Linked DNA regions of Anolis sagrei. The protein of the gene in region 3 binds, or shares a complex with, the protein of the main gene of each other region. Links are inferred from orthologs where the notes say so. Each region holds a gene or a part of one and is shown on either strand. Other genes may lie near its edges. The genes, in order: CNOT2, CNOT10, CNOT9 and CNOT8.

The links.
Region 1: CNOT9 (region 3) and CNOT2 share a complex: the UniProt entries of both Homo sapiens proteins name them as parts of the CCR4-NOT complex. The link is inferred for Anolis sagrei from reciprocal best matches to the Homo sapiens genes CNOT9 and CNOT2.
Region 2: CNOT9 (region 3) and CNOT10 share a complex: the UniProt entries of both Homo sapiens proteins name them as parts of the CCR4-NOT complex. The link is inferred for Anolis sagrei from reciprocal best matches to the Homo sapiens genes CNOT9 and CNOT10.
Region 4: CNOT9 (region 3) and CNOT8 share a complex: the UniProt entries of both Homo sapiens proteins name them as parts of the CCR4-NOT complex. The link is inferred for Anolis sagrei from reciprocal best matches to the Homo sapiens genes CNOT9 and CNOT8.

Annotation. Positions count from the first base shown.
Region 1 is NC_090025.1:143,579,754-143,586,921, forward strand, and holds the start of CNOT2 (CCR4-NOT transcription complex subunit 2), read left to right. Parts: upstream 1-4,149; 5' UTR 4,150-4,291; coding exon 4,292-4,330; intron 4,331-7,168. UniProt on the Homo sapiens protein: Component of the CCR4-NOT complex which is one of the major cellular mRNA deadenylases and is linked to various cellular processes including bulk mRNA degradation, miRNA-mediated repression, translational repression during translational initiation and general transcription regulation.
Region 2 is NC_090026.1:81,514,039-81,520,981, forward strand, and holds the start of CNOT10 (CCR4-NOT transcription complex subunit 10), read right to left. Parts: upstream 3,013-6,943; 5' UTR 2,786-3,012; coding exon 2,764-2,785; intron 671-2,763; coding exon 576-670; intron 1-575. UniProt on the Homo sapiens protein: Component of the CCR4-NOT complex which is one of the major cellular mRNA deadenylases and is linked to various cellular processes including bulk mRNA degradation, miRNA-mediated repression, translational repression during translational initiation and general transcription regulation.
Region 3 is NC_090021.1:229,041,406-229,049,399, reverse strand, and holds the start of CNOT9 (CCR4-NOT transcription complex subunit 9), read right to left. Parts: upstream 3,022-7,994; 5' UTR 2,956-3,021; coding exon 2,932-2,955; intron 1-2,931. Other genes in the region: USP37 (ubiquitin carboxyl-terminal hydrolase 37), read left to right, coding at 3,097-3,432. UniProt on the Homo sapiens protein: Component of the CCR4-NOT complex which is one of the major cellular mRNA deadenylases and is linked to various cellular processes including bulk mRNA degradation, miRNA-mediated repression, translational repression during translational initiation and general transcription regulation.
Region 4 is NC_090022.1:81,795,509-81,802,681, forward strand, and holds the start of CNOT8 (CCR4-NOT transcription complex subunit 8), read right to left. Parts: upstream 3,019-7,173; 5' UTR 2,704-3,018; intron 2,640-2,703; exon of another isoform or gene 2,477-2,639; intron 1-2,476. UniProt on the Homo sapiens protein: Has 3'-5' poly(A) exoribonuclease activity for synthetic poly(A) RNA substrate. Its function seems to be partially redundant with that of CNOT7.

The DNA.
Region 1 (7,168 bases), on a different chromosome or scaffold from region 3:
CTCCCTTCCTGTTGTCCTTTTGTCGGCAGGCATTTTTATTTAACCAAAAATGTTGTACATACAGTGGGGTGGCTTTTTATGGGGTATGCTTTACTAATCAAACTAAATGTATATTTTAATTGATTTTAAAATGTTATTATAATAGAATTTTAATTATATTTTTAATTAAATAGCAAATGCTTTTAATTTATTCTATTTTGAAAGCAAAACAGTATATTAAAAAATCCTGGGGAAACACACATAAATATAACTATATATAAATCACTTAAAAAGACACATTTGACAAGGGCAAGAAAACTCCTCTGGGGAAGGGGATATTACTCCCATGTTGGAATTTCATCATGTCTGAAAAAGCCTGTTTTGTGAAAGACAAACCTTTACTACATGATGCAAGGGTGGCCTTGCTGCGGCAAGGTATGTGTTTGTGCTTGCAAAATATACCTACCAAGCTAATGTTATATAATGTGGGGTGGCTTTTTGTGGAACATGTTTCACTAATGTTATTAAACCGTTTTAAGTTGGTTTTAAAATGTATTATGACACAATTTTAATTGTTACTAAAATTTTAACATGTTTGAAAACAGACTGTTTTGGGGAAATAAGGAGAGAAGAGATGGCTTCTTAGCCAGGGCAGCTATGGCTCCCTGTGTTGGTAATGGTTAAAAGGTCCCTTCCAAGCTTTTTAGGCTATAAGGGGGTTTTTGGTCGGGCATGTTTTACCCATCTTATCCAATTACTGAATATTTTAAATTGATTCTAAAATGTATCATAATAGGATTTTAATTGTAGTCTCGCTCTGAAGGGAGGCATATACATTAACAAACATGGAAAGCATAGAGAAAAATAACCACATAGAAATCACCTTAAAAGACAGCAAACTCTTGTGGTGAAGAGGGTATTACTGGAATTTCAACCTGTCTGTTTTGTGAGGGGCAAAGAGAGAAGAGGTACCTCCCCGCCTTTACCACAGTGTTGGTTTGTGCTTGTTAAAGGTCCCTCCCAAGCTTTTAGTAAAGAGGTGGGGTGGGTTTATTGGGGGTGTTTTACTACTCTTTTACTAAACTTTTGATTATTGGATTTAAAATGTATTTTAAAATGTACTCTGGTAGGATTTTATTTCTTTTTTAAAGTTGTAGGCAAATGGTTATAATATACCGTTTTTCCAAATAGCAGCATGTACAAGTAAATTAAAGAAAAACAGGAAAGCCTCTCATATATATAGTGCCATACAAGTGGTCTGAAAAGCTACTACAGGTAAGAAAGCACACATAAACTCCTGTGGTGAAGGGATTCTTATTACTTGAATTTCACCTCCTCTGAAAACAGGCTGTTTTGGTGTGTGTGTTTAACATGTAGGGTAAAAAAAAATAATTTGCAGGCAGTCTCCAAATTATGAAAAGGATAGGTCCTGTAGGTTTGTTCTCAAGTTTATTTTGTTGGAACATGTACTTTTTAAAAGTATAACTCCAGCCAAATACACACACACATACACATATATAAGCTTTGGATAGCATAGGGGTCAACACCTCTGTGGGGTCTGTTTTGCTGTCTGTGCCGCTGTTGAGAAGATTCCACTTCCCTTTCTGGATTTTGGAAAATGTGGCTTGTTGTGGAGACAAGGATGGGTGATAAAGCTCCACTAGAGATACCTTTTTCCCCTGATCACTCTTCCAGGAGTGAATTTCCCTTCCCTTCTCCTTCCTAAGGATAGACTGCCCTTCCTGTTGTCTCACCCGTTCTTAATTATGAGTAGTTTGTAAGTCAGGTGTTTGTCACTCGAGGACTGCCTGTATCATTTTTAGAAGCCTCCTAGGGTCCCACTGAAAAGTGGCATATAAATTAAACAAGCATGCCTATATAAATGGCCTGAAAAGACACCATGTAGAAGAAAGGGCAAAGAAGTTCTTATTGGAATTCCATCAGGTTTGAAAATGCTTGTTTTGTGGGGCAAAGACGAGAAGGGAAATCTTCTCAGGATACTTCCACAAAGCTGTATAAAATCTACATAGAAGTTCTGGCAGTATGGACTTATGTAACCCAGTTCAAAGCAGATATTGTGAATGATCTGCCTTGATGATCAGCGGCTTAAAGAGCTGGGCATGTTTACCCTGCAGAAGAGAAGGCTGAGAGGAGACATGATGATTATGTACAAATATGTGAGGGGAAGTAATAGGGAGGAGGGAGCAAGCATGTTTTCTGCTGCCCTGGAGACTAGGACGTGGAACAATGGCTACAACTTGCACTATCCTATTCCCTTGTTCCTGTATACAGTTGGCGATGTTTTACAACAGTTCTCACCATAGGTTATTGAGTTGAAATTGTTTTATATGCTATTGGTTTTATCTTTTATTGCATTGTTTATTTTATGCATTGTTTTAGGCACATTGTGCTGTATGCAAGCTGCCTCAAGTTCCTTCGGGGACATGGAGGCTGGGTACAAAAGTAAAGTTATAGTAATAATAATAATATCACTCAAACTACAGGAAAGGAGATTCCACCTGAACATGAGGAAGAACTTCCTAAATGTGAGAACTGTTCAATAGTGCAACTCTGTGCTCCAGAGTGTGGGGGAGGCTCCTTCTTTGGAAGGCTGGATGGCCATCTGTTGGGGATGTTTTGAATGCAATTTTCCTGCTTCTTGGCAGGGGGTTGGACTGGATGGCCCATGAGATCTCTTCCAGCTCAATGATTCTATTATATTCTGGGGGCCCTGAATAAAATCTCACATTATCTGCTTTGAACTGGATCATCTGGCAGTGTGGACTCAGATAATCCAGTTCAAAGCAGATATTGTGAATGACCTGCCTTGACATCATGGGTGATATGGCCGTTTGGAAGGGAATTTAAGGCCCTTCCACACAGTCCTCTATCTCAGGACATCAATGAAGAAAATCTCACAATATCTGCTTTGAACTGGGTTATTTGAGTTCACACTCTGATAATGTGGGATTTTCTGCCTTGATATTTTGGGATGTGGGGCTGTGTGGAAGGGCCCTCAGAATAGATAGTGCTGAGAGCCTCCGAGTCAGGGGGCTCTTCCATAGAGCCCTGTATTCCAGAGTACCAAGGCTAAAAATCCCACATTATCTGAGTGTGGACTCAGGGCCCTTCCACACAGCCCTATATCCCAGAATATCAAGGCAGAGAATCCCACAATATCTGTTTTGAGCTGGGTTATCTGAGTCCACATTGCCATATATTCCAATTCAAAGCGGAAAATGTAGGATTTTTTTTCAGCTCTGTGGAAGGGGCCTCAGTGCTATGAAATTCGGGGATTTGTAGTTTGGTGAGATGCTAGTATTCTTTGGCCGAGAAGGCTGTAGACCTTCCCCACAGCCCTATATCCCAGAATATCAAGGCAGAGAATCCCACGATGTCTGCTTTGAACTGGGTGATCTGAGTCCACACGGTGGGATTTTCTGCCATGCTATTTTGGGCTGTGGGGAAGGGCCCCCAATCCTTCCCAAGGGGTGCCAGGGCAAGTCTTCCTTTCTTCTGCAACCGAGGTGTGTGTTTATGTTTGAAAAGGGCCCCTCCCTCCCTCTTTCCTTCCTTCCTTCCGTCCCTCCTTCTCAGTGGAAGAGAGGCCCCTTCCCTCCCTCCCTCCCGCTTTCCCCGGATGTCTGAGGCTCTCTTCTCGACTCCCACGAGGCCGCTCTGAGGCCTTGTCCTGGGGCCCTTCTTCCCTTTCTTCCTCTCCTTCCTTGCGAGGCCGTAAGCGAGGGCCCTTCTCCCTCGGCGAGGCCGGCGACGGAGGAGAGGCGCCGTCTCCCGTGGCCGCCGGACGGCGACGTCGAGGTCACGCCGGCAGCGTCGGGGTCAGAGGGCAAAGGTCGCTCCCCCAGCATCCTCCGTGCGGGGTGCTCAGCCATCTTGGATCCTCGGGACAAGAAAATTCATGCGGTGAGTGCGGCCCTGTTATTCTTTCCCCCGCTTCGGCGCCGCGGCTCGGCTCGAAGCCTCCTCAGGGAAGCGGCGGGCAGCCAAGGGGGGCTTCTGGCAGGCGCCTGCCCGGGTGGAGGCGCTCAAGGCCGGCCTGGTCCCGCCGGGCCGCTTCCGTTTGCTTTTGTCTCTCTGAGGGAAGGAAGAGAAAGAGAGGAAGGGGAGGAGGAGGAGGAGGGATGCCTGAGGGGAAGGGGGAAGCGGGCAAGGCCGCTCGGAGGCGCAGCGCTTGAGGACGAGGAGGAGGAGGAAGGAGCCCCGAGGCCGGCCTGCCTTCCCTGGCTTCCGAAGGGGAAGGAGGCCTCGCTCCCGTCTTTCTCGACTCCAGTGGTGGCGGCGGCGGTCCTTTATGCCCGCATCCGAGCTCCCCGCCTCCTTAGGCCTCAGGGTAAGGCACCCAGGGACCAGGCTTGCCCTTTGTACATGCGCAGAGGCTCCCAGCGGTGGCGGGCTTTGCGGCCTAGGGATCTGGAGGCTCCCGCCACCAAGCAGGCCTGCTCGCCTGCCTCCTCTTTGGCGAGTTTTTGGTGGGAAGGAAACTTGGGAGAAACCGGCGGCGTGGAAGGGTTTTGTTGTGGTTGTTTTGTAAACACGGGCCCACCTCGAGGGCTCCGCAGAAGGAAGGCCGGAGCCCTGGCCTGGGTCGCTGGCGGGACGCGAGGGGTCCTTTGTTTGCGTTGGAGTTGCGTCTCCTCTCGCCACAGAGCCGGGCCTTTTGGGGGACGGGACTCGGGTCTCCCCCCAATCCATACTGGGCAAGGAACGCGGTTGGGAGCCAGTTTCCAAACTGCCGCGGCCAGGCCACAAACTCCGGCAAAAGTGCGCCAAAGCAAGCCCTGAATGTGCCCCCGTGCTCCCCCAGTTCGTGCAATCACCGCCTGGGCCTCAGGCTGGTTCTGTATTTTTCTCCATGTAATCATCTGCACAGCGAAACCACTTTCTTCAGTTCCGGTTTGAAACTGCATTCAGTGGTCAGTGGGGATGTAGCCTTGTTCCACCCAGGGAGCAAACTTTTGCAAGCGTTTTCCCAAGTTTGCAGATGTAGACACACAACAACAACAATGCATTGTAACTATAAATTGTAGTTCATCACTCTCTGCTTTGAGTAGAATACATATTCCGTTGTAGAATTAATGCAGTTTGACACCAGTTTAACAGCCTTAGCTCAATGCTGTGGAGACCTAGGAGTTGTACTTTTACAAAGGGCCCTACCACACAGCCCTATTTCTCAGAATACCAAGACAGAAAATCCCACATTATCTGAGTGGACTCAGATCACCCAGTTCAAAGCAGATTTTCTGCCTTGATACTCTGGGATATAGGGCTGTGTAGAAGGGCCCCAAGTCTTTAGCTTTCTCAACCAAAGAATACGAGTATCTCACCAAACTACAAATCCCAGAATTTCATAGCACTGAGGCCCCTTCCACACAGCTGAAAAAAATCCCACATTTTCTGCTTTGAACTGGAATATATGGCAGTGTGGACTCACATAACCCAGTTCAAAGCAGATATTGTGGGATTTTCCAATTTGATATTCTGGGTTATATGGCTGTGTGGAAGGACCCTCAGCCATAGCAGTCAGTGTAAAATTACATTAATTCTACAGATGCTCCCCATAGGGAAGATTTCTTTACTCACTGTCTTTTAAAATAATACTATGATAAATAATTGTAGTTACCCTGTGATTCCATAATCTGTCATTCTTAAATTGCTTGAGCCCTTCCACACAGCCATATAACCCAGAATATCAAGTTGGAAAATCCCACAGTATCTGCTTGGAACTGGATTATCTGAGGGCCCTTCCACACAGCCCTATATCCCAGAATATCAAGGCAGAAAATCCCACATTATATGAGTATTTACTAAGATAACCCAGTTCAAAGCTGATACTATAGGATTTTCTGCCTTGATATTCTGGGATGTAGGGCCGTGTGGAAAGGCCCTGAATCTACACTGCCATATAATCCACTTCAAAGCAGAAAATGTGGTATTTTATTCAGCTGTGTGGAAGGGTCCTTTATTTATAGTTTACACTGGACTACTAAACATCCCAGGTAGTTGATGTCATGCAATGCTGCCTGTGTTTCTACCAACTGAAATACTAATAATTTACAAAAGAGGCATGTAAGCTTCTGACACAAGGCTGTAGGTCATTTTTGCTAGGGATTGGGGACATTTCAGTTTTGCAGTGTAATTAACATTGGTGTGAAAGGCTTTGAACTTTTGAAATCTTCAGCAAAATACTTGAGGAAAAGAGCTAGTCAGTCATCACATTTCACTTCTAACCAACTTGTCTGCCCTCCCCCCCCCTCAGTCTTAATTAATTAATTAACTAAGTATATTTCTATCCCACTCTATCTCACCCTGAGGAGGACTCAGAGCAGTTTACAATTTGGCAAAATTAAATATCACATTATACATAAGAAAAAAGCAATACATGACATAGTTAACTAAAAATCAATAAACATATAAATACAAATAAAAACAATTAAAACATATTAAGCATATTAAAACATCATAAAATGTATTGAACATTGCACCAATTCTGTAGTCATCATACAGTTTAAGTCTGTTTTAAAATTCTTTCCAAAACATGGAGGAGAAAGTGATCTGAACCTAACTTGCACAGTTATAAAAACTATACAGGCATTTATTATTTGGAAAAAAGAATCCAGCAGGTATTCATACTCCTAGCAGAGGAATCTGATATTACTCTTTGGACATGGTTTTTTTAAATGTATGCAGGGATTTCTTTCCCCTTCATACACTTTTTGGAAAAAGTTTTTAGAAGAAGTTACAGGTACTTACTGTGTTTTCTACCCACAGCACAGGTTGGATAAATGTTTAATAAAGATGGTTACTGCTTTTCTTAAACTTCTCATGTGAAGTAAAAGTTGGAATGCTTTGTATCACCAAGGGTCATTTCTGTCAGAAATTTCATTTTAGGATTGCATGATTCTTTCAGTCATTGATGCTGTCTTAAGTCCTTGATGTTGAGTCCTAAATGTTCATCAGACAACTGTAAAAAACATTGTCCTATAAAGGAAACACTTAGTGCTTATCAGGATACTTAATAAACCATACTTATTCAGCTATACTTTTACTGAAATACTATTTAGTATTTATGTAACTGAAGCAGATTTTTGTGATGTCTCTGAATAATTTTGTACCCTACACCTTGATTTTCACAAAGGAGTTTTGTGAATTAAGTCAATCTGCACAACCT
Region 2 (6,943 bases), on a different chromosome or scaffold from region 3:
AACAGAAACAGAAGTGAAAAGACAGTAACTGCCAAGAAGCAAGAACTAATAGTTGAGAGACATTGAAAAACCCATTTTTTTCTTGGATTAATACGCAACTCAGCATGTGACTATGATAAAACCTTCCATTAATTTTCATAAAACCGTATTGTGTTAGCATATTTATAAGATTTCTTTGTACTGTACTTTTGTTATTTAGTGTAGAGGAAGAAAGATGCAGATTGATTTTGAAATAAAATATTCTAATTTAATCTAAAAAATTTCCAGAAGAACAATTAAAAATCTGTAACACACACATATAAAGAAATTAATAATAAAAGTCCAATCACTTAGGCCCCATTTACACTGCAATATAAAATCTAGATTATCTGCTTTGAACTGAATTATATGGCATGTAGACTAATGTAATCTCATTCAAAGAAGATAATCTGGATTTTATATGGCTGTGTAGATGGGATCCTAGTGAAACATATTTTTGTCATGTCAAATAAAGTATTTCCTGAAAGCAGAAAAGAAGATTTGTAACCAGATGTACCTTCTGTTTAACATAACAAAATTGAAGAATCGTATCTTACCGTAAATGCTTGCAGTGCACTGTTTGATAGTTCCTTCTCTTGATCAGTAATCCCAGAAGAGATACCCGTTCCTTCATGTTTTTCTGTTCCTTGATCTAAGTAAGAAATAATTGAGAAGAGAAGAAGGGAAATATAAGAAGATGAAAGAAATCAACGCAGATCTTCAAGGACAATCTTTTACTCTTGTTAGAGAGAAGATATCAGTTGGAACTCTCCCCCCCCCCCCCTTTTACTTCACTTTCTGTTCCAGTGATAATAGGATTTTGAAAAAATCTGGCTTGTTGTGGAAACAAGGGGCCCTTCCAGACAGATCCTACATTCCCAGGATCTGACCCCAGGTTTTCTGCTTTAAATTGGATTATATGAGTCCCCATTGCCAGATAATCTGGGATAAACAGAAAACCTGGGATCAGATCCTGGGATATATGATCTGTCTGAAGGGCCCAAGGATTGGTGATAGAGCTTCAGTGGAGACACCTTTCCCCCATGATATCTCTTTCAGGAGTGGATTTCCCTTCTGCAGTGCAGATTTTTTTTACTTCCTGCTGTCTCACCCTCGTTCTTAACTATGAGTCATTTTTAAGTTGGATGTTTGTAACTCTGAGACTGCCTGTAATGCAGTTGAACTGCATTATAGGCATTATTTAGGTGTGTAGATCCATCCCCACTGCAACTTTAGCTCCTTCTTCCCCTGCCTTCTTTCTCTCAGGCTCTGAAAGGAGAAATCTCCAAGCTGTGTCCAACCAACCTAGAAACAGAATATTATTAAAGAACACAGAAATGCTGGACCACTATAACAACTACCATGTCAGACTACACTGAGAAGCCACTGAAATCCACAAGCATGTGGACTATTTCAAGAGAAAGGAGCAAACAATGAAAATGAACAAAATCTGTCTACCAGTTTGGAAAAAAATTCTAAAATCAGGACTATAAATAAAGAACAGCACTCACAAACAGGGGAATTCCAGACAAGAAACAATCAGGACAGCTTTTTCCCCCCCTCATTTCAGGAGTGACTTGAGAAACTGCAAGTCGCTTCTGGTGTAAGAGAATGGGCTGTCTGCAAGGACGTTGCCCAGGGGACGCCCGGATGTTTTGATGTTTTACCATCCTTGTGGGAGGCTTCTCTCATGTCCCCACATAGGGAGCTGGGGCTGACAGAGGGAGCTCATCTGCACTCTCCCTGGATTCGGAACTGCTGACTTATTGGTCAGCAGTCCTGCCGGCACAAGGGTTTAATCCAGGGGTCTTCAAACTAAGGCCCGGAGGCTGGATACGGCCCTCGAAGGTCATTTACCTGGCCCTAGCTCAGAGTCAACATAAGTCTGAAATGACTTGAAAGCACACAACAACAACAACAACAACAACAACAACAATCCTGTCTCATCAGCCAAAAGCAGGCCCACACTTCCCATTGAAATACTAATAAGTTCATATTTGTTAAATTTGTTTTTCATTTTAATTATTGTATTGTTTTAATGTGTTTTTTTTGCACTATAAATAATATGTTCAGTGTGCATAGGAATTCATTAATGTTTTTTTTTTTCAAATTATAATCTGGCCCTCCAACAGTCTGAGCGACTGTGACCTGGCCCTCTGTTTAAAAAGTTTGAGGACCCCTGGTTTAATCCATTGTGCCACCGAGGGACTCCTAATCACTTCCCAACAAAGGATTCCCTCAGGCAGGAAGCAGCCAAGCTTTGAAGCTGCGAGGCTATTCAACACTAATCAAGGTGATCAATTGCAACATTCACACTTGCCTCAAGCAGGCATGAGTTTTCTCCCACCCTGGACATTCCACATTTATATAAACCCCTAGTTTCCAACAGACCTCTCAATCTCTGAGGATGCCTGCCATGGATGTGGGTGAAACGTCAGAAGAGAATGCTTCTGGAACATGGCCATAATGCTTAGAAAACTCAGAGCAACCCAATCCCCAAACTGTTTTAGACTCCCAACTCCCAGCTGCTTGGGCCAATAATCAGGGATTCTGGGAACTGGAGTCTAACATAACTGAGCGACCAGGGCTTTAAAGAGACTTGAGATTCCCTTGACTTGAGATTTCCAGAGAGAAAGCCAGGAGAGAGATACCGAAGGAAACCCTGTCATAGGTACCCTTCCTCCCGCCAAGGGGCCTGGGCTGGCCTCCTTCCCTCCCTCGCCGGCCTCGCCTCTTTGTCCTCACCTCCGCCTCTGTCTGCCGCCATGGGGTGGCTCTACTGAAGGCTCCCGAGGTAGCTGCGGCCTGGGCGGACTCCACGACAAGGCCTTCCGCGCCTCACAAGCCTCCGCCTGAGGGAAAAGTGAGGAGTCGCGAATCAAACAAACCAATTTCTCCCCCTCAGCGCCTGACCCGGAGCTTCTTCTTCTTCTCCTTCCGGTTCGGGGAATGGGAGCTTCTCTAGCCCCGAACGTCTCCTCGCTGTTCTCAGCGCAGGGAGCGTCACGTGCGTAAAACCTGCAGTGGGCGGAGCTAGAAGCTTTCAAAGTTTTAGTGGGCGCGGCCGACAGGAAAAGAGAAGAGGGACCCGGATGTCAGCCTACTTGGGAATAGCAAGTAGCAGCAAACTTGGGCCCTCCCGGTCTTTTGGACTCCAGCTCCCACAATTCCTAACAGCCGGTAGGCTGTTAGGAATTGTGGGAGTTGGAGTCCAAAAGACCTGGAGGGCCCAAGTTTGCCCATGCCTGATCTACGCTGTAAGATAAATGTAGTGTGAGCCCATGGCACTTACAGTGGTCTCAAACTGAATTAATTCTGCAGTGTAGATGGATCCTCCACCTAAATCAAACCTTAAGCCTCCTATTGAGGGAGGGGTGATTATATTATATTATATTAATAATGTTGTAATATTATATACTAGCCGTCCCCTGCCAGGCGTTGCTGTGGCCCTCAGAAAACAGGAATTCCAGGCATGGAACAATAGAGACATATGGAAGGGACATTGAGAAATGGAACAGAAGGTAGATGGATAGAACATAGGTAGGTAGATGGATGGATGATCAGACAGACACACATGTTAAAGGGGCCAAAGGGGGTTGGACTAGATGGCCTTTGGGGCGCCCTTCCAACTGGTTGGCCATCTGTCGAGTAGGGTTTGATGGTGTCTTCCTTTACCGCCCAATGAGGTTGGACTGGATGGCGTTTGGGGTTCCAACTGGATGGCCATCTGTCAGAAGGGCTTTGATGGTGTCTTCCTTTACTGAAAAAGTGGTGGGGCTGGATGGCCTATGGGGCCCCTTTAACTACCATGGCTTAATGCTGTGGAATAATTCCATGGTGTAGACCAAGTAGGGGCAGACTTGGGCCCTCCAGGGGTTTTGGACTCCAACTCCCACAATTCCTAACAGCCTTCCTAGCAGCCTTTTGGGGTTGGAGTTGTTTTTGTCGCTGTGTTTTTCAGTGTTTTTATGAGTGATGGTCACTTGTTGGCCTGATAAGTGTATTGTCTCCAAATTTGGGTTAAAGCGCTGAGCTGCTGAGCTTGCTAACCAAAAGGTCGCAGGTTCGAATTTGGGGAGCGGTGTGAGCTTCCCTTGTCAGCCCCAGCTTCTGCCAACCTAGCAGTTCGAAAACATGCAAATGTGAGTAGATCAATAGGTAACAGTCCGGTGGAAAGGTAACAGCGCTTCATGCAGTCATGACGGCCACATGACCTTGGAGGTGTCTACAGACAATGCCAACTCTTCAGCTTAGAAATGGAGATGAGCACCACACCCCAGAGTTGGACATGACTGGACTTCATGTCAGGGGAAAACCTTCACCTTAACTTATACACCTTATGATACAGTACAATATATTATATAGTACTAATGGTATAAAATACTCGTAGTGTATTATATGTATTGTTGTATAATAATATAGTATAATATACTGCAGTATTCATGTTGGTTTGTTTGCGGAGATGTGGTTAGTTAAATAGCCTGGACCTGAACCATTTAGAGCTTTATCCATCTGAGTCTATCTATCTGAAATGTGGTCTTCCTCTTATCTTTCCTACTATCTTGTACCATGTTGTTGTTGGCCCTTCCACACAGCCCTATATCCCAGAATATCATGAGAGAAAATACCACAATATCTGCTTTGAACTGGAATATATGGCAGTTTGGACTCAGATAACCCAGTTCAAAGAAGATATTGTGGGAGTTTCTGCCTTGATATTCTGGGATATAGGGCTGTGTGGAAGGGCCCTAAGGTTCTGAAAAAGCACAGAGAAAGAGCTGATTCATGAAACAGTTGCTGGACCGTTTTTAGCTGTGTTTCTGTTGTGTTAAAAGTGTTTTTCCACTAGGTGGCATTATACAGCAGGTTAGTATGCATTTTAAATTTTAAAAGTCCTCTGAATAGCACATTTATTCTGGATAGAATGTTATTTTCATGCAACAAAATGTATCCCTTCACCTACATCAGTGATCGGGGAACTTTGGCTTTGCAGATGTGGAGCTGCAGCTCCTTATCACTAACTATCCTGACGAAGGGTGATGACAGTGGCACTTGGGACAATGCTTCTATAGGGTGTCTGATGCAAGCCTTTTAAAGCTGCTCTTAAAGCGTTAAAATGTTATAACCTTGGAATTAACTATCATTTTCCAGTCACAAACTAAGACAAGTGTTATGGATTTAATTACATAAAAGTGATAGCTTCCCAACCCTGGGGAACTAGAATACAGCAAAAATCTTTGAGAATTAGGTTTTGAATAAAGAACCATCTGGGAAAGATAAAATGTGTCAGCTTCTTACCATTGCCTCTCATTTTATTAATTAATAACCTAACTCAAGAATTACATTAATGCTGACATTCCAGCACAAATGGATAATTTTCATTTTAAAAAAAGTACCCTTTTATCATTACAAAAATTTCAACTTAATTTATTTTAGTTTCTATCCCTGTTCTTATCTAACACAAACAGTATATGCACAATATATTTAAAAGTAATATAGGAAATGGGATTTCTGCAGATATCATACAAGCTTCAAAAATTATCTCTCTCACATAACTAATAAAAAATATAGGAGTCCTTTCCTCTTTTTCACATGATCTTTGGTTTGCCTTTCATCTTTCAAATATGGCCATTCCAGTCAGGCTTGATCAGGAAAAGTAATTTCAGAGAAGAAAGTGGGCCTGTCACCAGACACCAGTATGATCCAACTAACCTCAGCTTTATAATTGTTCAGTTGTCCCTCCACATTTGTGGATTTAACTTTTATGGAGTTGATTATTCATGGATTTGATTAATATGATCTTTAGATCCTGGCAGAAGCTGACCATAGAGTTGCATTGGAGAACTTCGAGATTCTGAGCAAGTTGTTCTCTTGGGTAGCAAAAATAACTATTTAAAAATTCACATTTTCCCATTTTCATAAGGGTCCTGCACCCTCAACCATAGCAAATGTAGGAGAACTGATAGTACTTCTTAGTTATTATTTAAATCATTTCCCATATTTTCACCTCCCCCTCCCAGTTAGTTATAAATAGAATATAAAATATAATAAAATATGCATTCGAAATAAATAACAGAAATAAAAATACAACAATAATAGACACCCAACTAGGTAGACACCCCCCCCCCTTCCAGCAGCAGCCTTGAGTTCCTATATTGACAAAAAGGAAGGAAAAAATAAGTACATATAGAGATTATAAAGTGATTAAAAGTTTTGCTTCTGAATAAAGAACGGAAACAGAACAAATCCTTGCCTAGGGAGTTCCACTAGAAGTCGCTATAAAGCTCTTCTCTTGTATCCTTGCCAGCTAGAGATGTGTATGTTTTGAACTACTAAACAATTACCATGCAATTTAAATGAGAAATTACTTTGTATGTTAATCCCTTCTGCTTTCTATTTCAACAAATATAGGCAGCTAATTGTACTTCTGCACCCCCGGCTAGAATAAGCACATTTGTTTAGGTGTAAATACAGAATGTCTAAGAAACTTCATATTGTAACTCTGCTTTGCATTAGCTCCTGCATTTATGTGTCACGTGGGAGAAAAGGGCGGGGAAAGGGAGTCAAGAAATAAACATCTCACCATGTTACAAATCCAATTATCAGTGACAGGGCTAGTAAAGTCAAGTGAGTAATGCTGGCTAAAAGCAGCTTTGTGTTTGGCATCTCACTAGAGATTGCTAGAGACCAGCTGTACAAAGCGGGGTGGAACACCAGGTTTTGGATATACCATACCATGTCACCGTACTTTTTCTAGCATACACCTGTGTTGGAGAGAAGGAAGAAATCCAGCCCCACAGAAACAAAATATCTATTCCTGCTGCATTTGAGCTAGAAAGCAGAATTAATGCCTGGGTGTAGTCAGTCATAACCACAAGACAGCTCAGATTTAAAGGGAGCTTTAGGCAAAGCTCGGCTAATAGCC
Region 3 (7,994 bases):
TCCTGGGAAGGCTTTTTACAGATGGTGTCGTACCACTACTTTTACAGTAGTATCTTTTGATACTATACTTCAATACTTCTCAGGCTAATGTAATGTGGCAGAGCCAGGTTTCTATTTCTAATGGCTAACAACCAGCATGCTATTTATGCCCATTAGTTATAAGTATTTCTTTCCTGGAAATTAACTGCAGGTTTATAGCCAATGGCTAGTGTACTAACACCTGTCTCTAGAACTGCACTCTAAAGTGCACTATTGTAAATATTCTTAACTAAGTCTACTGGATGTACATTTTTTAGAAATTAGATATATGAACATGTTGTCTTGAATATTTATAGATCTATACGAAAATGTTTTATATTTGTTTCATTCTGCTCCCTGAAAAATTGTCCCCCCACATTTTTACAAGTTTTTCTAAGTTCATATCTCCAGTCAACCTATACAGATATTGAGCTGATTCAGAAAATAAATCAAACTGAATTTATTTCTTTTTCTTTCTTACAAATACAGTTGAACTGCAAAGGAATCTCTCTGGTTTTATTTCTTAAGTCTTATGATGTCTTGAACAACAGATATTAAAAATCACTAAATTTGAAACACGGTAATTTCTAAAAGTAAGGATAGAAAACCTGTTAGAACCTAACACAAATCAACAAGGAGAAACAAATGCAATGTGAAGTATCCAACAGGATGGGGGGGAGAGTATAATATGGCAATAAAGTGAAGTAAATACAAAATAGTAAAGGAAAGCTGACTTAAGGTGGACTCCTTAATTCTGGTTTTTGGAGAGGGAACTTCCAACTGTAACCTTTGAGAACAAGGTTCCTGCATCTCTGGCTGTCTTTTCTTACCACTACTACCATATTTTTTAAAGCATCATTTCCATCTCTGGTTATTTCTAAAGAATTTAAAACTTATGAGTGATGCTACTGATGCTTTAGAATTTGCTTTAGGGCACATTTATACTGTAGAATTATACTGGGGCGGCACCAGTACTCTTTGACAGAGGAGGATAAAAGACCTTGTAAAGCTATAACTCCCAGAGTTCCATAGGATTGAAATATAGCAGTTAAAGTGGTGTCAAACTAAATTAACTCTTTCGGGCATGAGCAGACTTCAGCGTTCCAGGTGTTTTGGACTTCAACTCCCACAGGCTGTTAGGAATTGTGCGAGTTGAAACCAAAATGTCCGGAGGGCTTGAGTTTGCCCATGAATGATATACAGGGCCATAGCCAGAAAATTGGGGGTGGGTGGTGGGTGGGTGTTGAAACCTTTTTAAGCGAATCATGAAGAGTAGTTCCATAACACAAAATAATTTAAATAGTATGGTTCATTCTATATTTTATATAAACTTAATTAAATCAGTTTTCTATTTTAGTTACAGAGTTTCAAGTCTTAAAATAACTGAAAATGACTATTAATTGGTAATTTATAGCTACAAAAGAATATCATAGCGTCTGTTGGAAACACTTGAAAGCTATGTCAATATACTTTGATAGAAAGCAGGCTCCATTGATAAACTTTAGTGGACACTCAAGAGTACAAGTCCAGTCAGTCTTTCTTGCCTCACTGTTTTTCTTATGTATGTTTTCAAACGTTTAAGAGTTGAAAACGAGCTCTATATAGGCGCAGCAATGGGAACCTACTAACTGGAAAAGGGGAGGGTGGAAGCAACGAGTGAAAGGCCTAATTCCCCATTAGGAACCTGCCTCCTACCTCATGCCGAAGCAAAGAACACAGCAATAGCCTGCAGCTCCGCCCCTGTCAACCGTCCCCACCAAGTATGGTCTCCTTCATGAGGGCCTTCAAATCCAACCCGCACTCAATACATTAGGCTTTGCCTGCCAGTTATGGGTGAGCCATCGTGGCTACTGCTGCAAGTTATGAGTGTAAACAAATTGTCAAAATTTGCTTGAAGTAGTGCTTGAAATTCTGGAGGCACTCATTTAGTTTTTGCTTCTCATAGACTTAGCATGGGAATTTGGTTAACCAGTTAAAATTCATCTTTTTTTAACCTGAAATTTTGGGAGGGGGTGTTAACCCCTAACCCTCCCCTCTGGCTAGAGCGCTGCTGATTTAAGGTCTTTACAAGCTCAAATAAGCCTCCTTCCATTCTGCAGCATTTGCTCTCACTTAGGAACAGGATTCCAATGCCACATGCTAGGGAAAATATTATTCTGGAATGCTAGAATACACTGCATCGCATGCTTTAACTGGTCATGAATGCCTTCGAGAATACATTTAATTGTGTGTGTGTATGTATGATCTTATGCTTAATGTGATGTTATATGTGTATATATATATATATATATATATATATCTGTGCAATGTGGCAATGAAATTGCCAAAACTGTATGCCGAGTCCACTTCGGGGTATGATAGAGCAGAGTAGAAATATAATGATAGTAAATAAATAAATCGAATCCACACTGTAGAATGAATGCCCCTGGAACTGTCTTGCCTCCATACTAAGGAATCCTGGGAGCTGTAGTTTGGTGAGGCAGCAGCACTCTTTGGCAGAGAAGGCTGGAGACCTCGTAAAACTACCACTTTCATGCTTCTATGTTCAACTCCGGGGCCATTTTTTACGCATCAGCCACCATAAACGATGAATCCGCGCATTGGGGGGGGGGGGGGGGGGGGAAACAGGCTCCCGGCCCCGCCTCCTTGCAGGCGCCTTCTTTGCCGCCATGCTGCTGCTGCTGCCGCTTTGGGCCGAAGGTCCTCTCTCAGGGAAGCGGAAGGGAGCTGCACGAGTAACTAAGGAGGACCCGTCGTTTCTGAAGGAGAGCAATTTGGCGGGAAAACAAGCCTCTGCCGCCCCCTCCCCTCATTCCGCCGGCCAATGAAACCAGACCTTTCTCAGCCCCTCAGCGGGCTTCCTGACCGCCCTGCCGAGGAAAACCATGCCCCGCGAACCCGGCCCGGCCTTACCGCGGTCGTGGCCAAGCTGTGCATGGTCGGGAGTCCTTCGCGGGAGCTCAGGAAGCCGCTTCTACCTCAGGCGCCGCCATGATGGATCTGCCGCCGTCGCCACTGCCGCGACCTCTGACCTCTCGGCGGGCATAAGCGTTGGGCCCGAGGAGAGCGAGAAGGCGCATGCGTCGCCAGAACTCGAAACCACAGAGGGAAACAGTGCGCATGCGCAGGAATGGCAGGAGTCGATTTCCAGGCCGTCGGCGTGATGACGTAGGGGCCTCCCTATCCAGTCCTGTCCGCGGTCCCGCCCCCCTCTCGTGCGTGTTTACGTTGCGTGCTGGCGTCAGGAGGACGGTGGCGCGGCCGATCTGGTTCCCGCCATCTGCCCTTTTCGTGAAGGCAAGCCAGGCCGGCTGGGATCGAGGCGGGCCTGGTGTCCGCGAACGGAGGCAGGGAGGAGGAGGAGGAAGAGGCGGCCTGGAGACGGAGCCAAGCCCGGACGGGTTCGCGGAGAAGGTGAAGGAAAGCCGCCGCCGCCATCATCCTCTGTGGTGGTGGGCTTGTCTGGAGCGTGGCGCACCCTCTGAGGGAACTCTTGCCTCCTCAGTGCCGGGGAGGGCGAAGGGGCAGGCCTGCTCGGTGGCACCGGGCCCTCTCCTCCCGCCCTCTCTCCCTTCCCTCCTTACCCCTTCCTCACCAAACTACAACTCCCAGGATCCCATAGCATTGAGCCAGGGCGTTTAAAGCGGTGGAAAGAAGTTCCCTTCATCCTTCCCTCCTTCCCTCGCTCACGCCTCCCATAACAGCCTGAGCCTGGTTCCTTTCCTCCCTTCGGCCCCAGACATGCCTTGCCTTCCAGTGTGATTGCTCCACGCTTGGGGCCCATCTTCTATACCATACATGGGCAAACTTTGACCTGCTGTTAGGAATTGTGGGAGTTCCAAGTCCAAAACACCTGGAGGGACGACTTTTGCCCATGCCTGATCTATATTGTTGAATTACTGCAGTTTGATACCACTTTAAATGCTGGATTTAGCCCATAAAGCCCTAAACAGTTCCGGACCAGCTTACCTAACTCCTTATGACCCTTCTAGGTCACTAAGATCATCTGGGGAGGCCCTGCTCTCGGCCCCGCCTCCCTCACAGATGCATTTGGCAGGGACAAGAGACATGGCCTTCTCAGTGGTGGCCCCTCGACTGCAGAACACCCTTCCCAGGGATATAAGAGTGGCCCCCTCCCTCCTGACTTTCCGAAGAAAGGTTAAAACCTGGCTTTTTGAGGAGGCTTTTGCTAATCCAGCGTAATTATATAAAATCATGGAATGACCTGACGAAGTAACTAAATAACAATTTTAACAAGGAGATGCTCATGATAATGTTTTTATGGCTTTCTATGGTTTTTATACTTTATATTTTATATGAATGTTTTTAACAGTATTTTATGATTGTTTATTTGTTGAGGCATCAAATGTTGCCAACTACGAACCGCCCTGAGTCGCCTTCGGACTGAGAAGGGCGGTATACAAATATGATAAATAAATAAGTAGTGGCTCAATGCTGTGGGATTTTGGAGTTCTAGTTTGCTGAGGCATGCAGCCTCTTTGGCAGAGAAGTCTAAAGACTTTCCAAAAATCATATCCCCTCAATATTATAGCCCTGAGCCAAGGTGGTTAAAGTGGTGCAAAAGTGCATTTGTTCTACAGTATAAGTCAGCTTTGGGCAAATTTGGCCCCTCAGGCTGTTTTGGACTTCAACTCCCAGGAATTATGGGAGTTGAAGTCCAAAACACCCAGAGGGCCCAAGTTTGCCCATACCTGGTATAGGTGCACCTCTTCTTTCTTTCCTTTGCTCCTCTATTCCATGGTAACTTCGGCCTGGTTTGTGGCATTCTTCATCCCATGCCCTCAGCCTGAGCCATGCTCTTTCTCACTGCTCAGGTTTCCAGGGCTGTTGGTCCAGACCTTGGTTACATCCACACTGCCGAATCAATGTTGTTTGAGACCATTTTACCTACCTTTTACAAGGTCTTTAGCCTTCTCTGCCAAGAGTGCTGGTGCCTCAGCAAATTCCATGATAATATAGCATCGATCCATGGCAATTAAAGTGGTGTCAAACTGTATGAATTCTACAGTGTAGATGCACCCCTTGATTTCCGCTTCCTTTCCTTCCTGCTTATCTCCCATTGTTTGTTTTTGTCTCTGATCCACCAGAGAGACAAGAGAGTGTCTAGGAGTCACCCACTTGTTGGCCTTTCTTTCATCCCTTTAGTCCTAGCCAGGCATGTAAAGCTTTGCCGAGATGAGTGGGGTGAGCTTCTCCCTTGCTTTGACTCCTAGATCCACTCACAGCCATGTTTCTGTAAAAGTGAGTGTTTCCTATCCAGAAAACTGAAATGTAGAAATGAGGCAAGTGAAACTTCTTTGTGGGTTAACCTGTGGAGGCTCCATCTGTTCAATTTATGTTTCATTGGCTCCAAGGTAGATGAGAACACGTTAACAACTTACTAGTTTTCTAAATTGCTTTCAAGTTTCTTCATATCTTGTAGGAATTTGCTGTAAATAGTATTGAGTGTTCTTTACAAATTGTATGACTTTTTAGTTATAGCGTGGCCAGAGTAGCACAAAAAATTGGTGCACCATAGTCTTAAATAGGCATTGCATTATTTAGTACAGGGGTCCTCAAACTAAGGCCTGGGGGCCGGATGCGGCCCTCCAAGGTCTTTTACCCGGCCCTCGCTCAGGGTCAACTTAAGTCTGAAATGACTTGAAAGCACACAACAACAACAACAACAACAACAACAATCCTATCTCATCAGCCAAAAGCAGGCCCACACTTCCTATTGAAATACTAATAAGATTATATTTGTTAAAATTGTTCTTCATTTTAATTATTGTATTGTTTTTAAGTGTTTTTGCACCACAAATAAGGTATGTGCAGTGTGCATAGGAATTAATTCTTTTTTTCCAAATTATAATCCGGCCCTCCAACAGTTTGAGGGACTATGACCTGTTTGAAAAGTTTGAGGACCCCTGATTTAGTATAAGGGTTTTCTATGCCACACACCCATTGCTTGTTGTATTGTAGGCAGCAGTTTAATTGGATGTGAATAATTCCACTCAATTTATAAATACTGGTAACATTTATAATTACTGGTAGGAGTCCCTGGTGGCGCAATGGGTTAAACCCTTGTGCCAGCAGGACTGAAGACTGACAGGTCGCAGGTTCGAATCCGGGGGGAGCACGGAAGAGCTCCCTCTGTCATCAAAACATCTGGGTGTCCTCTGGGCAGCTTGAGAAACCAGAAGTGTTTCTCAAGCTGCTCCTGACACACACACAAAACAAACCCACTGGTAGCATGAATCTTATGTTATACCAAAGTGAGAGTACTTAGTGGAGGAGTAAATATACTGAGGTTGGTGATACAAATAGCAAAATGTACTCCCATGTTGAATATAGCAACTCTCAAATGCTGATTCTGCTTTCTTTTGGAATATTCTTATGACCGCCAAAGAACAAAAGAATAACTGGTGTTGAGAACTTTATAAACATCCCTCCCAAATCCCCATTCAGTTAAAAAATACAGTTGGTGTAACAGTTAGATCATCTTCTCCAATAATATTCACATAAAATGTGTTACTTTTCACTTTTAGTTTATTAAAAAGGGATAATTGTTCTCTCATGTTGTTTCCGGTTCTTATATCTTTCCATGCAAGGGCATCCACACCTCTCTCCATACTTTGAGTACTTAGTAGAAAGTAATCCTGTTAAATGTTGTGGAAGTTATGCTCACTGTTTTTGGCTTGCTTGTGAGAAGCTTTTGCGCAGAATCCCTGCTTTTTATGTCTTGGCACAGCAGTGGATTATACAGTGTCAATGTGAATTGTGGGTCACTTTCCTGATTTGACCATTTGACATTCACTGAAATGGCAACAGAGCTGGGGGAGAAAATATAGGGATGGACTTCCTCATGGCCTTCATTCTTAGATCCCCTCTGTGACCTTGAAGTCATGTCTTTGCAAAAGTAATACATGTTACCTATCTAAAGTCCCAAATATAGTTCTTACTGGCATACTGTTTCTCCTAAATTATTTCGGTATAGGTTGTATAACCAATGAAGCTGGTTATATTTGCTTTAATGGGTGGGAATTGTGAAGTGTTCCAGATATTGTTAGATTGCAAGGCCCAGCATTTCTCATCGTTTGCTATTCTGACTAGGGTTGCTGGGAGTTATAGCCCAGCGGCATTTGCAGAACCACTTTACTCTCGTCTCGTGCTAAAAATGGACTGTAATGGTACAGTGTGTGAAACACTTATTCCTACAATACTTTTTCCTACTGGAATATGGAGACCCTGACCTCCTACTTTGCTGAATATTTTTAAGTATGGTGGCAACATGCGCTTAATTGCAGTAGAATTATAACAGTCATTTTCGTCAGAATGCTGCACACCTGTAGAGTTAAAAATCCCAAAATAAGAGTAACTAGCATGCATCTAACTACTGAACATAGTGGGGAACAAGGATTCCATTTCAATATAGCTACTGATAAGGGATCAGACTTGGAATTCAACATTGTCTGGAAGGCAAGCTTTCCCATTCAGGTTGTGTACAACTAGCATACTAAAAATAGTTTTTAGTATACTTCTGGTATGTATTCATATTGTACAGTGTAATCCTGTGCACGTCTGCATAGAAGTAAATCTCATTAAATTAAATGAGACTTACTCCGAGGTGATTGTGTGTAGAATTGCAACCTTTTCCACTGAACAATAATTATTTCTATCCTCTCATTTTACTTGTGTTTGTATATGCATAAACACACAGCAATGCCACTTAATGTCTGTAACTACTTGCTAGCAGGTGGAAAAACAACAAGTGTAACAGTATTCCATGTAGTCCCCCCACCTGCCATAAGGCATTTGTTTCTCATGGATAAGGGCTTGAAATTGTTTTCCTACCCTGCAACTGCCTCATTTTTATCCATTTACTAGCTGTGCCCTGCCACACGTTGCTGTGGCCTATAGTAAAACTTATCAAAGTTGAGGTAGATATCTGGACTATTATGAAAGAGAGGTCCCTA
Region 4 (7,173 bases), on a different chromosome or scaffold from region 3:
TAGGATATTGCAACAGAGATCCTGCTTCTGCTTGTCTCAATGAAGATGGCTTACAGAAGGAATGAGAACATCAGTCACTGCTTCCAATCAGTTGGATCACAGACCTCCATCAAGTGCCGGGCCTTCTACCCAGCCAGTAGGAATTGGGGTGAATGGGATTCACTGTGTAACACTATAAATATGGTGCCCATGAATCTATAGCTTCCTAACAAGAATCTGACAATTGTTTTAGTCATTCGAAATGTGAAAACAGAATATTTTAAAGTAATGTCTGTATATGTCTGTCTATTGAAGACATAGACATTTTTAAATTCCTGACATTTCTGCATTTCTGGGATTGTACTATCTTTACTAAAGGATCTCAGTGAATCTTATATTCTTGTGAACTGATATTTGCTTCCTGCTTTGCAATCTCCGATGTAATTGAGATATGTTGTTTTGGAGTGCCTTCAAATGATTTCTATATCATGAGAACACTAAAACAAACCTAGTATAGAATTTTCTTGTTCAGAGAGGGTTTGCTCTTGCCTTCCTATGAGGCTGAGTGTGTGACTTGTTCAAGGTCACCAGTGGATTCCCATGTCTGAGCAGGTAAACATGTACAGGACTGCCCTCAAAATATATGTAAATTTTATTTTTTTTAAATCATCAACAATATCTATGAAATTGTTAAAAGAGAACAATCATCCTCCACACTTGCTAGGGTAATGGGTATAAAACCCTTGTGAAAGTGAAAACCCACAAATAAAGAAAATTCTATTTTTTTTACATGAGAAAATATATTGCTAAAAATTCGTAGTTCTTTCAACATGACTATGATCAACTTATCTTGGAAGCTGATGCACTGGAGAACCTGGAGAAATTGTACTTCTCTATGCGCTATCACTTGGAATTGTTTTTTTGAACAAATACTGCACTAGTTTATAAACAATTATTTGTATGCACAATTACACAGTTTATGCCCTGTATACAAGAAGCTTTTTTGTATCGATTACTTAAATGACAAAAAAGAAATGTTATTTGCACTGAACAAAAGAGCGGACTACTTCCCAACATGTTCATTCAAGGTGCTTTACTTTAAATTATGATAAGAATGTACTTTCATATTCCCTCTTCACACGAAAACCTAGCAAGAGAGAACTCTGTAAATACACACTGCATATCCCCTATGCAGCCAAATGAAATGCTCCAAAATTGTCCATATGAGTAGCTGAGATAGCAAAACCTTTCTGGTGGTTCAATGTACAAAGCTCATGCTCAAAATTATTAAAATGTATATAAAATTATCTTCAGACTATGTGTGGAAGATGTCTGTAAAATATAAACGAATTTAGCACTTGGGGGTCATCTTCAAGGTATCTCATTATATACGTAGATGTAAACAAAGGTATTCTAAAATCAGAAACAAAATCCTTCTGGTCTAAAGCATTTCAGATCAGGGATACTCCACCTGAACCACCTTTCTAATTGTGTCTGCTTCTTCCTTCATGATTGCACTATACCTAAATGTGCTGCTCAGAAGCAAAGAAAGGGAAACAATAGGAGAGGCTAGGCCATAAGCAATATTCACACAAGCACACAATGCTAGGCCCAGTAAAGCTCCTCAAAAACCAGGAATGGAAAGGCATCCCTCTTTGGCTCAAATCCCTTACATGTATGTGCCTTCAACTCTCCTGTTGACTTATGGAATGAATTTCATAGGTCTTTCTTAGGCAAGGAATATTTGAAGATGTCTTTTGCCATTTCCTTCCTTTGAAACATGGCCTATAGTGCCTGCTATTCCTTAGTGATTTCCCACCCAAACAAAGAGATATCTGACCTATTTATACAGATATGGTACAATAACTTGTTAGGCTATATACTTCTTGAGGGATATCTTATGTGTATAAAAAGGAAACTCATACACATATATATGTGCATATACATACACATCAAGTTGCCCGCTGATTCTTTGAATTTCAGAGGGTTTTCTTCAGGAAGGAATATTCAGAGATGTTTTCTGCCATTTCCCTCCTCTGAAATATAGCCTACAGCACCCGCTATTCCTTATTAGTTTCCCATCCAAGTATAGATAATTGTCCTATTTATACACATACAGTAGAATAATCTGTTACGGTTGCATCCTTTTAGGGGACTATACCATGTGATTAAATGTACTTTCAAGGTGCTCATCAGCTCAATGAATTCCCTAAGGTTTTCCTAGGCAAGGAATGAGGTGTTTTCCCCAGTTCCTTCCCCTGAATTATAGCCTAAGACGCCTCCCTGGCGGCCTCCCACCCAAGTGTGAACTAGGCCGGCCCTGCTTAGGTCCCTTGCCCCTTGCAACATGGAGGCCTTCCTCCTCCTTCCACTGAAGGATTCGCAGGACTGTCTCCTCTGCAAACTCGACCCCCCCCCACCCCCCACTACCACACACACACACGCCGTTTCCCTTCCAATTGATTCATGAGGGGCTGAGCCAGGTGCCTGCTCTCACTTCTGAAGGGGGATTTTGGCAGAAGGGAAAAGCACAATCCCGCCAAGGAACGAGCACGCTCTCTTTCTCCCTTCCTCTGGGCCACGTTATGAGGCAAAAGGGCAGCCAGCCGAGGAGGCTTCGGGGAGAAAAGGAAGACCGCGAGCAGGAAATCCGGTCCGTCCCGCTCTTTCGCTCCCTCCCCGCCTCAGGAAACCCCGCGGCCGCCGCCGCTTCCGCCGCCTTACCGGAAGAAAACGGCGCGCGCCGGCCCGTCCTCGCTCTCGCGTCGCCTGTGTTTGGGGCTGAGGGAGGGGGGAACCGAGGAGGAGGCCGTTCTAGGCTACCTCCGTCCCATCACTCGGTGATGCGATGTGGATGTTTTGTTGTCGCCTTTGTTTTGCTTCCTCCGCTGCCTCTTCTCCGCACGCATGCGCCCTGGAGAGCAGCAACGACCCTCCCAAGGTTGGGCACCGGAAACGCAAGGGAAGCGCGCGCCTGTTTGCGCACGCGTGTGGAGCCACCCCAAGGGACGATGTTTTTCCTAATGCGCATGCGTGTGGAATCTCCTCACAGGACGCGCTTTTTCTTACTACTCATGTGCGTGGAGCCGCCTCAAGCGATGCTTTCCTTCCTACTGCGCATGCGTGTGGGGCCGCCTCAAAGGACGCTCTTCTTCCTACTGCGCATGCGTGTGGAGCCGCCTCAAAGGACGCTCTTCTCGCTACTGCGCATGCTCTTCTGGTCTGACTGAAACTGGAGCAGCCTGCGGTTCGTGGGGAAGCCAGGCTGAGAGGCGGCTCTGTGGGAGTGGCGACGGAGAAGGAGCCGGTTATCTCTGCTGACAAAGTGTTTTGTAGCATTTAAAACTTCTTTCCTGGGTACTCTTATTAATGTGGGCATAAACCCTTAATGTTGAGAGTGTGCTATGTGGGAGAGGACTGCCTGATTTATAAGGAAGTGGCCCTGTTAGTCTCTTGCAGCATAACAAGGGGGAGAGAAGCAAGAAAGATGGCAACATATTTAAGTAATTTGGAGGGGGCAAATACATACACACATATATATATAAGACCACTTATTTAGATGCAGGGCAGAGTGAGAATAAGCCAGATAATTAATTACCTTTATTGCATCCAAAGGTGTGGGTTTATATCCCACAGAAACGCTTGTGAAAATAAAAAGGAGCTCTCACATTTCTTTTTTCTCCCTCTTCTTTCTTCCTTTTCATAATTTCGTTTTCTGTGCCGGGCGGGGAACATGAATGGGACTGTGATGGCATACTTGAGCTTTTGGGAAGACTATTGTCTGTCTTTACTCAGGGGCTATCGGATACCTTCTGTTAAGATTAAGTCCCTTAGCAGACAGAAGCTCTTTAGGCAAAGTGAAAAGATAACCAAAATGAGTTTACTACAAACAAGAGGAATAAAAGAGTTAACTCCACTCGGGACTATCATTAGGTAACTTAAAACAATACATTACAAAAGGAGAACTTACTGGTTGCAGTCATATTTCTGGCATCTTCTGCCTCTGATGTAAAGTAGTGAACTGTCACAATCTTCTTCCTTGTGAAGCTTAGGCTGACCAAAAGCTTCTGTTGTCCTTTGGACTGTAGTATATAAAAATACTGCTAAATGCACCAGGTGCTAAGAATGCCTGTTTTTGGATTCCTTGGCCTAGGATTACCAGACAACGCCACAAGCCTGTAGAAAAGGGAGGAGTCCATCAAGAGAGCACTATACAGGGAAATGAAATAGACCAGCTAAGACTGGCCTGTGGGGGGATTTTAAGATTCACGCAAAAACGAATACAAAGAAAAGTCTCTACACTATTGGGAAGGCCTGTATACAGGGAGAACTAACACAGAGGAGAGGAGAAGGCAGAGCCAAGACTTCACAAGGACCATCAGAAATTGGTGGGCAACTATCATTCCTAGCCTTTGGAAATGCTCAGTTGAGATTCATTCTCAGTTACTTCCAAAGGGTTGTTGCACTCTTTGCTAAAAGGCTTATCCTTTTTAAAATAAAAGAATTTGTTTCTAGGTTTAAAGGATTTATAAAACCAATCTGTGATTTGGGGGGATAAATTGTTTAAGGCAGAGCTTTCCGAACATTTTATGTTGATGACACACTTTTTAGACATGCATCAATTTGCAACACAGTAATTCATACACACACTTTCTTCTTCTGCAGATCCTGCTGCTTGGCTCACCATTGTCCTCTCTTGATAACATTCTTCATGATGTTAACATTAATGCTGAGAATCTCCTCCTTCTCCCGAATTTCTCTTTTGGACTGACTTTTTCATGCACTTCTTAGGGCCATACAGTAGAATATGGTGGACCCAATGTCTGTAGAATAGTTAATCCAACTGGGGTTTATTCCAAAATTTAAATCCCACAATATCTGCTTTGAAACGGGATTATCTGAGTCCACACTGCCATATATTCCAGTTCAAAGCAGATAATGTGGGATTTTATTCAGTTGTGTGTAAGGGACCTTTGATAGTTTCTCTAAAACCGGGCTGAGTCCCTCAGTGAGGTTGAGAAGCTCGGTATAGAAAACTGTGAAATAAATAAATAAATAATAAAATTTGAAATAAAAGGCCATAATGGATTTGCTGCTTTACTAACATGAGCACTACTGGGATATTCAGTCATCTGAAGACCTTTGTCTCAGCCTTTCTTCTGTGGTGCTTTGATTTGGCCTTCATCTTACCTCCTTCGGTAAGGCTTAAGCCCTTTTGTTTCCCCAAGGAACTTCAGCTCAATTATTTTTCTTGACCTACTCCTTAAACACCAGAGTTTCAATCTTCACTTTATCCCTGCTTAAACATATTTATTAGAAAAATATACAAAGGAATCCAGAAACACCTTTGAAACTTAGATAAGAATTTTCTGGCATAAGCTTCTGTAAACTGCAGTGCATGGAGTGAAATCTCTGTGGACAGAGATATATTCCAAGGCAAGGGTGAAGGAATGTGAAGTGTAGTAGCAATTCAAAACATGGAGTGGTGAGAGATTTCTTTAATTGTGATCTTTATTTATCATGTCAGTAGCAAAGCAAACAGTTGTATTGAATTTTTTAAAAAAGCAAACAAACAAATCACAAAGTTTGTAAGCTTGGTAGTTGATTAAATGCCCTTTGACCAGTAGCTGGCCACTTGGAGCGCCTCTGGTGTTACTATAAGAAGGTCCTCCATTGTGTATGTAGCAGGGCTCAGAGTGCATTGCAGCAGATGGTCTGTAGTTTGCTCTTCTCCACACTCGCATGTTGTGGATTCTACTTTGTAGCCCCATTTCTTGAGGTTGGCTCTGCATCTCGTGGTACCAGAGCGCAGTCTGTTCAGCGCCTTCCAAGTTGCCAATTTTTCTGTGTGCCCAGGGGGGAGTCTCTCATTTGGTGTCAGCCATTGATTGAGGTTCTGGGTTTGAACCTACCACTCTTGGACTCTCGCTTGCTGAGGTTTCCAGCAAGTGTCTCTGTAGATCTTAGAAAACTATTTCTTGATTTAAGTCGTTGACGTGCTGGCTGATACCCAAACGGGATGAGCTGGAAATTTCACTGCCTTGGTCCTTTCACTATTGGTTTTCACTATTCCCGGCAGATGTCAGGTGGTGCAATACCGGCTAAACAGTGTAATTTCTCCAGTGGTGTAGGGCGCAGACACCCCGTAATAATGCAGCATGTCTCATTAAGAGCCACATCCACTGTTTTAGTGTGGTGAGATGTGTTCCACACTGGGCATGCATACTCAGCAGCAGAGTAGCAAAGTGCAAGGGCAGATGTCTTCACTTATGATCATAAGTAGTTTATTAATATTATACCATAAGTCACTCCCATACAATATTTAATGTAGCAGTATAAAAGTACTACATAAAATATATGCAAAATATTCAATTCAATGCATACATTAAATATAAACAATACTGTAAAAGCATCCCCAGAGGAATTGGTTGGAATATCAGTGATAAATCTTGCCTAATTTTTCATCTCAGCCAGGGCAAAAAAAGAAACCTTTCAAGTTACCATGGAATTAATATCAGACAAGAGATTAAAAAAAATTCTGAAATATTATTAGAAAATAAATAAGCTAGAAAAGATCCAAAAAATTTGCTTATTGGTTAAGAATATGATGAACAGAAGAGGAAATAACAGGACAAATCATCAATTTCTAGGGCTCCACAAATAGAGGATCAGAAGAATACAAGGATATCTGCCATCAATCATAGCAGTAGGCATGGCTTGAAAGCGAAGGGCTGTAAGCATTTGCCTAACTTTGGAAGTATAAGCTTAGCCAGGTAAGCCCCTTGATAGTCAAATTATAGTCTCTGCCATTTTGAGAAATTTGTTATTAAGGCCCGTCTGTCCAGTTGTGTACCATGGTGAAAAACCATACTCGCAATACTTTAGAATTCAAGATAGAACAATTGTCAAGCAGAGTAGGATACAGTTGAAGCAACCTTTTATATCTTGAACTCCAAACTGCAGTTTGATAGCTGTTCAAAACGTATTTTGAGGAAAACTCCGGCAAATCTTTCAAAATTCTCCAGTAGTTAAATAAAATGAAACGTGAGATCTAATAGAAGGTAAACTGACCTTTGCCTGAACTAGGGCTGCAATGTACCAGATGAAAGTATTTGCAATTTCTCAAGAAATGTTTTCTTTTTTAGTCTCAATTGTTGTTATTTTTTTAAATGCAATTTAAAACTCGTGTATTCT